Linked DNA regions of Arabidopsis thaliana. The protein of the gene in region 1 interacts with the protein of each later gene in a pairwise test. Each region holds a gene or a part of one and is shown on either strand. Other genes may lie near its edges.

The links. Proteins that work in one complex are often made in the same cells at the same time.
Region 2: the proteins of AT1G05805 (region 1) and NAC062 interact in a two-hybrid assay, tested with the Arabidopsis thaliana proteins (one large-scale study listed by BioGRID).

The regions. Positions count from the first base shown.
Region 1 is NC_003070.9:1,742,421-1,746,177, reverse strand, and holds the start of AT1G05805 (basic helix-loop-helix (bHLH) DNA-binding superfamily protein), read right to left. Parts: upstream 1,735-3,757; 5' UTR 1,336-1,734; coding exon 861-1,335; intron 1-860. Other genes in the region: DGL (alpha/beta-Hydrolases superfamily protein), read right to left, coding at 3,559-3,757.
Region 2 is NC_003074.8:18,363,287-18,367,043, forward strand, and holds the start of NAC062 (NAC domain containing protein 62), read right to left. Parts: upstream 1,674-3,757; 5' UTR 1,432-1,673; coding exon 1,254-1,431; intron 984-1,253; coding exon 703-983; intron 609-702; coding exon 369-608; intron 277-368; coding exon 1-276. Other genes in the region: AT3G49540 (uncharacterized protein), read left to right, coding at 2,514-2,609, 2,713-3,117. UniProt on the Arabidopsis thaliana protein: Transcriptional activator activated by proteolytic cleavage through regulated intramembrane proteolysis (RIP). Transcriptional activator involved in response to cold stress.

The DNA.
Region 1 (3,757 bases):
ATTACGTGAAAATTATTTTTAAAAATAATTCACATTCACATCCAAAATATTAGAAACCATATAATGTAAGTAAATAAAGAGGGATTTTTGGATAATATGGATAGTTGAATTCCGGTTCAGGCCGGTGACCGGTTAGGTGTGGGAAGTCACATCCAGGCTTGGTGGAAGATATTATGATTAGATAACAACGAAGCAAAGCACGAATCATCAGGACCAAGGAAAAAATAATATAAAAGTGGACAGATCAGATCCACCAACTAGATCTACATCGCTTTCTATTTGAATAATCTTCATCACAACCAATGATATTTCGCCATCTCAGCAGAGAAACTATTGGTCATCAACGAAAAAATCCATCCTCTAAATAAATAAATGCAACTTGAGATATAGGAATCCTCGAAGATTTAAATAATATCCCAAATTAAGGGTAACCGAGCCACATTTTTGCTGTATTTTCAAGCACGTGGTTAGGGATCAAATGGTATTTTCGTCATTCCGAAAATACGAGGATCACGTCTTGCACAAGTACCAACCAAGCTAATTTAGCAACGACCCTAAATATCAAAGCTCACAATGTCAACTTATTTTATATACATAGTCGTTAATTAACTTGTAAGAAACTAGATACTTCACAGTGAGAAATACCGAAAATACCCTCGTGGTTAGATTTTCATTTCACCAAAAAACGGATCTTTAGTTGAGCAATGAATGATTGAATGACTGAAAACTATATAGCTCATATTCTACATTACGATTTTTGGCAAATTCTAAGGAAAAATGGTCTGAAAATGAGTAAACTTGTCTGTCTAAATATATATATCTCATCACAGTTACTATTCTTGAGTAAAAAAAGGACTAACTGTTTTTATCTGAGGCGAGGTAGGTGAAGAAATCGGCGGGAGAGCTACGTTGTCTAGCGAGAGAGTAAGATCCTGAGCTGTTTCCTCCTCCGATGTCGTTGCTCTTGTGTTGTTGCGAGATCTCGTTGAATCCACCGTAGGATCTGTCGAGGAAGATATCTTTATTACTATTATTATTATTGTTATTGCCTAGCTGTTTCTGTCCGTCGGATGAGTTGTTGACTCCACAAGTCGTCGAATCGGATCTCAGCGAGGATGAGTCAGCAGCTCCGGTGAAAAAGTTACCGATGAAGTTATCCGACGACGGTTGATAGCCGGTGAAGTCACGAGCGTTTGATGAGCCTCCTCCGATGACTTCGTCAACCACAGAGTTTAGAAACGATCCCGGAGCTGAGCCGTAACGGATCAGTCCTCCGCCGCCGGGAAGCGATGATCTCTGCGATGATGATGACGTGGAGGATGATGATTGGTACATGACTTCTTCTATCGCCAAATGGAGAGAGAGAAATCTGAAAAGTTTGGTTTCTAAAAGAAAAATAAAAGATGAGAGAGAGATGATGCTTTTGTTTATGGGGTAACAAAAAGTCTTCACTTTTCAGCGATTGGCTATTCGTTGGATGTCACATGTGTCTCACGTGATCTTCCGAAAGATATGGTATTAAATTTAAACCGAAATAAGCCAATCAAAAACCTTTATTAATACTTATTTATTTTGTAACGAGTCAGCTTAACCTTTGGGCTTTGGGGCCGCGAATATGTGGGCTGGGCTTGATAAAAAGATAAGCAACATTTGCGATGTCTTTGATTAAGTTTAAATTTCCCAAGATGTTGAGGTTTTCAGTGGAATGCAATTATTTTTCTCTAGTGTATATAACTCACATTGTTAATTTAAAGATTTCAAGATCACAGAAATGTTAAAGGTAAAAATTAAAATGATTCGATAAAATTCGACTTAATTGCTTAATAGTAAATTGAACAAACATAAATGCTTATATCAAATGCATGGTTCATCAATACTTTTTTGACGCAAACCTTTTTCCGATTGTAATTCAAAATAGTTCTGTTAATTTTTACCTAAACAATTAATATTGTTGTTATTATTATAAATAGAGCCCACAAATATGGACGTTTCCTCTTTCACCAGTTATTTTCAAATTTTCACAATAGTATATGAACTTCCACAAATGGAAAGAAGTAAAATTAAACGAGAACTCATCTTGTCTGAATTATATATCCATAAATTGGTGTGTAAAATGGAGTCGTAATTAAGATGCGTACGGATAATTAGCTACGACTGTGACATGCAAAATAAAATAAACGTTTTTCTGAAGAGTGAAACACATCTGATGCGCATGCAGGAATGATACACACATTGGTCTCCAAACGTACGTGTTTTTCTAGCCCCACCCTTATTGACCCCATGTGATTCGTAAGAAATCGAAGCTGAAATTCAAATTAGTTACTGTTCTAATTGTTATATATGTCTTTATTTTTATTGTCGAATGATGTGATCTGTAACCAAACTTCCAAATTCAAGTTGAATTATTTTCTTTCTTTCTTTTTCAACAAAACCTCTCGTGAACAGAGAATCCACATCGTGAACAAAACCTTTTTTCGGTTTTATGTTATATATAGAATAAGCTAGTGCATATATTTATAGATGAAAGCTTCCAAATGAGAAATTAAAAAGTTAAAAAAAGACCCTCGCATAACACGAGAAGGGACACATTTACAAATAAAAATGGGAAATATAGATAAAGATTGCATGTATTAATTAATATCTCAGTGAGTTTATTAACATTAAACCAAAAAAAAAAAAATATCTCAGTGAAAAAATAAATATAATTTAATATCTCCGTGAGTAATATAAAGACTCCGAAAGAAAAAGAGAGTATATGGAACTATTGCTGACGTTGTCTTTGACAAATAACATAGACAAATTGTATATATATTCGATGATTAAATTTGAGCATATAAATAACTTTATATATGAACTTTGATCATTTAGAACAAAAAATCAAAATATAAATTATACACTGTAACGATGTTGAAGATTTGACAAATGATTCTTATTGTTTTTTTTTTTTTTTTTTGCTAAATATGATTTCTTATTGTTCATTTTTAATCTTACAGGTTATAATGACGTTGAAGTTTTGACAAATGGCTTTGTCTTTGGCCATTATTTATATTTATAATCTAATACGTTGGTACCTCACGTCACTTCTACTATAATAATATACAATAACCAATTAACCATAACAAATTAATAATAGATGTCTGTTTTTATAACTAATAAAACAAAAAAAAATACATCTATCGATTAGGACTAATGGACTATAATATAAAAAGATACACAACAATGCTAATATGTACACGCCTGATATTGGATGATGTCCCTTTTTTTCATTCACAATTTTGAGTTCTTGTACTTCATCAACAGTTGAGAGCTTTAACCTAAAGAAAAGTATTATATTGTGAACTCATAGTAACTAAGAGAAGAAAATAATTATTTTTGTTCACATTGTGATAGATGAGACGCAATAATTTATCTTGGATGTGGAAAATATACTTTTTTGTATTAGGTTTTGCATATACATCTATATATGTACATTTCTTATGCTACGTAAAAGATAGGGCAATAATTATTTTGTCCTATCTTAAAAAAGAATCCAAAATTTTAGCTTGGATCAATCTAGACCTAAAATATATTATAATACAACATATGGTTGGATATAGAACAAAGTAGATATGCCGCATTGGTCGCTGCGTTTGTAAAATGCAACGCTTGACGTCGTCCCTTACTGAACATCAGTTCACTTGTTCTGTTCAAAAACTCGCCGCCAAAATTGTCTTCATTAACCGCCAATTTCGAGCATCTCGGACGGTTTACTAGAGTG
Region 2 (3,757 bases), on another chromosome or scaffold:
AAAACCACTTTGCAAAACATACTTGTGCTTCTCTGGATCCTCGTCTGGGCTCTTGAGAATCGAATCAAGAAAATCAGATATATACGTATCTACTTCATTTGTACCATACTGAGTCTGGATTTGGAAGCTGTTGTTGTTGTTCCCTGAAAAATTACTCGAGCCAGGCTGGAATGTGTTGTAAGAGGATCCAAGCTCAGATTGGACTTGAGAGTGTAATGGAGAGAACAGCGTGAAATCTAAGGACTCCAATTCCGGATACCATTTAAAATCTACAAGCTGCATGCCGAAAATAAACATCATTAGTATTCAAACAGACACTAGAGACAATCATCTAAAAACTGTCTAAGAGAATTTTTCAATGTCCTCACCTCTGCGGTTGTAGCCTCATCACAAGCATCACTATGAGAATCTCCAGAGATTACAAGAGAAGATTCTGCTATGTCATGACGCTTCACGTCTTCTGTTTTAATTACCTCAGATACTTCTGACTTAGTCACTTCGACAGTTGGAGACGAGACAGCAGGTTCTTCAACTTCATCTGACTTCGAATCTTCTTCCCCTAAAACCAGTTCTTCTTTCTTGAACAATTTGCATATAACAAACGGACTCTGCATATATATATATCAACACAAGCACACAATAAGCTACAGAGCCAAATTTAGTTTTCCAATGGTTACACATCTAAAAGTATGCATTATTTACCTGGCCAGGATTGGTACCACTAAGATCATCCTCCGTGGCACGATACTCATGAATAATCCAATTGGTTCGTGTCCCCCTAGGAGCTCTACCCGCGTGGAAAACTAGAGTTCTCTTCACACCAATAATGTTAGTCTTACCGGATTTTATCTTCCGGTCTTTTCCTGTGGCTTTCCAGTACCCTGCAACTGTTGCCCGGTTCTGTCTACTTCCACTCGGATACTTCCGATCCAATGGACAGAAGTAGAGCCACTCTGAGTCTTTAGTTTTGATCACAGAAAAATCTACAACAAAAAAAAATCACATCTTTTAATCAAATTTCAGTCACTTACACTACACCTTAACAGAGATATAACCACATACCCAAAACTAAACTATATCAAACACATATGATCGGTTTAAAGTTATTAACTTTCTTCACCATAGAAACTAAAGCTACAAATTTTAAGTTCTACCATTTCTCAATTCAACATAATGCCAGAGAAATCAAAGAGGATCTATAGAAAAAGTGTAAATTTATGAATAAAGAGATGAAGAAGTAAGTAAGTAAGTACCAGGTAAATCCCAAGGTTCCCATTTGCAAATATCGATCTCACGGATAGCTTTGACGTCGTCATCGTGACCGTTGATTTTCCTACGGAGATAGTAACGGATTAGCTCCTCGTCTGTTGGACGGAATCTTAATCCAACTGGTAACGAATCCATTGATAATACATGAAGATTCTGATTCATTGATGCTGCTCTTTTAAACGAATCGCGAGAAGAAGAAGAACCCAAGATTTAAAGATACGAATCAGAATTATTTATCTATCTCAGAGATGCGATTCCAAGGTATCGCGAAGAAGATAACAATAAAAATTTAGAGAGAAAACAAAAACCCTAAAAATGGATTCGATGATTTTGGTAAAGTGAAGAAGAAGGCAGATGTGAGCTTTGATTTGGTTTTTTCTTTCCTTTTGTGAGTTCTATATGGTGATGGCAGCGCGTGGTGTGTACACGCGGCAAACCAAGTACGTTACGCGGTTTGGAAATTGTTAAAGTATGGTTTTGCCCTTGAGCGACTTTGGGATATTAACTAGATGCAGGGGTAAAAGCGAGAAGTGAATGACTGTTGTAAAAGAAGGTGATGAGAAATGTCATAGAACGAATGATGTAATGACACGTGGAAAGGAATGGAAGTTTCGGTGCATGTCACTTTGTTTTTGGGATGGTGTTACGCTTTTCTTGACTTTTGGAAACTTGTCTTTTTTAATTTATTTAGATTTTTTCGCTTTCTTTGACTTTTGGAAACCTAATCAAAACTTCTTTCATGAAATTATGTATTAGTAAAAAGCTGCATAATCATTAGGATATTCATCATCGTTTACACGGCGTAATCCTCTTATCTTTGCAAGTTACAAAATTCAAAAAATCGAATTAAAATTCTGGAGCTAGGACCGGCTAAAAATAGAGCTAGCAACAAGAGACGAGAGAGGTCCACAAAACTTCCAAAAGTTTGACGATATCAATGAAGCTTTTCAAATACAGAGAAACATCTATCTAAATTTACTCTTACCTCTCTGCTAAACTCTATTCTTAGCCATCCCCAATTTGAATACTTCAACACACACAAGAAAAAATACCAAAGGCTCTCCATAAAAATCGGAATCATCTTCATCTATATAACCATGATTATGTTCTCTTCATTTGCTCAATCCTCGGGTCAACATTAATAAAAAAGAAGAGAAAAATAAAAAAGTTTGTGTAAATTTTTTTTGCACACTCCACAGCCTAAACCCAACCCAAAATCACAAAAACCAAAAAAATATATAATAATGGGTGGCTGTGCGAGTAGACCCAAGGAATCAGACATGCAAAACGAAGAAGGCTCTGTTCCTAACAAGCCTGTCTCTGAAAACGTAGTAGCCAAGGTAACAATTAATCTCTAGGTTTTAAATATGAAAATTTAATTAGGTTTTGTTACCGAACCGGGCTTAACCGGTTATGATCTTTTGGTATGATTAATTAATACAGGAGAACAACACAGAAAGCGGTGAGAAACAGAACCAGACAGTGGCTGAGACCACTGAAACAACTTCTGTCGAAGCTAAGGAGACATTTCCGGTCGAGCCGACCAAGGAAACAACTCCTGCTGTTCAACCAGAGGTTGCAGCCGTCGAAGAGTCTTCTTCTGCTGATGCTGGTGAGGCTGCAGTAGTTGCACCTGAGAAAGTGGAGAACGCTGCAACAGAAAACGCTGAAGCAAAGGTGGAGGCGGTTGCCGTAGCTGCACCCGAAAAGGTTGAGGTTGCAGTGGAAGCGGAGAAAAAGGCTGAAGCTGAACCAGTAAAGGCTGAGGCTGAACCAGTAAAAGCTGAGGCTGAACCAGTAAAGGAGGAGAGTAAACAAGAAGAGAAAGAAGCTGTTGTCACCGTTTGATGATTAATTAAATTTGTGAAAGTATTTTGAATGTTGTTGTATGTCACCTTGGTTTGATTTGCTACTACCAGATTGGTTTGGCTTTTGTTGTTCTTTGTATCTCAAAATGATTCTTCTTTGATTCAATTAAATATAAATCAGTTTTGCATCGTGAAAATTTGTAATCAACATTTCTTAAGTCGAACGTGTTCGTGTGTGAATTACGATCTCTGATTCTTTTTTCTCCGGAAGATACAATCGAAAACATTGAAAGATGCAAAATCCCCTGAAAACTAAAATCTTTCATTTGATCATTGATCTTTTTATTCTTGTGATGTGACTCCATCTTTCATTTGATTGTATATGCAATCTTAAGTCCTGCTCATAAATCGTAATTGGCAGTGTCAAAGAAAAGAAGAAAAAATATCAAATATTACTAAATGATTTCAATTTAATGTTAGAATGTTAAGAGATGTTTGACTACTTCACGAGGAGATGGGATCTGCATTGAAATACTACATCGAATATTGAGGATTTGGAGACTGAATATTAACACTTAGAGGATGAATGTTGGCAGTTGTTGACACCGGAAATCAACATTGCATCTGTTGGAGTATATTCGAATGTTTTCAAGTGGCAATGAATCCCTTTGATTCTGATA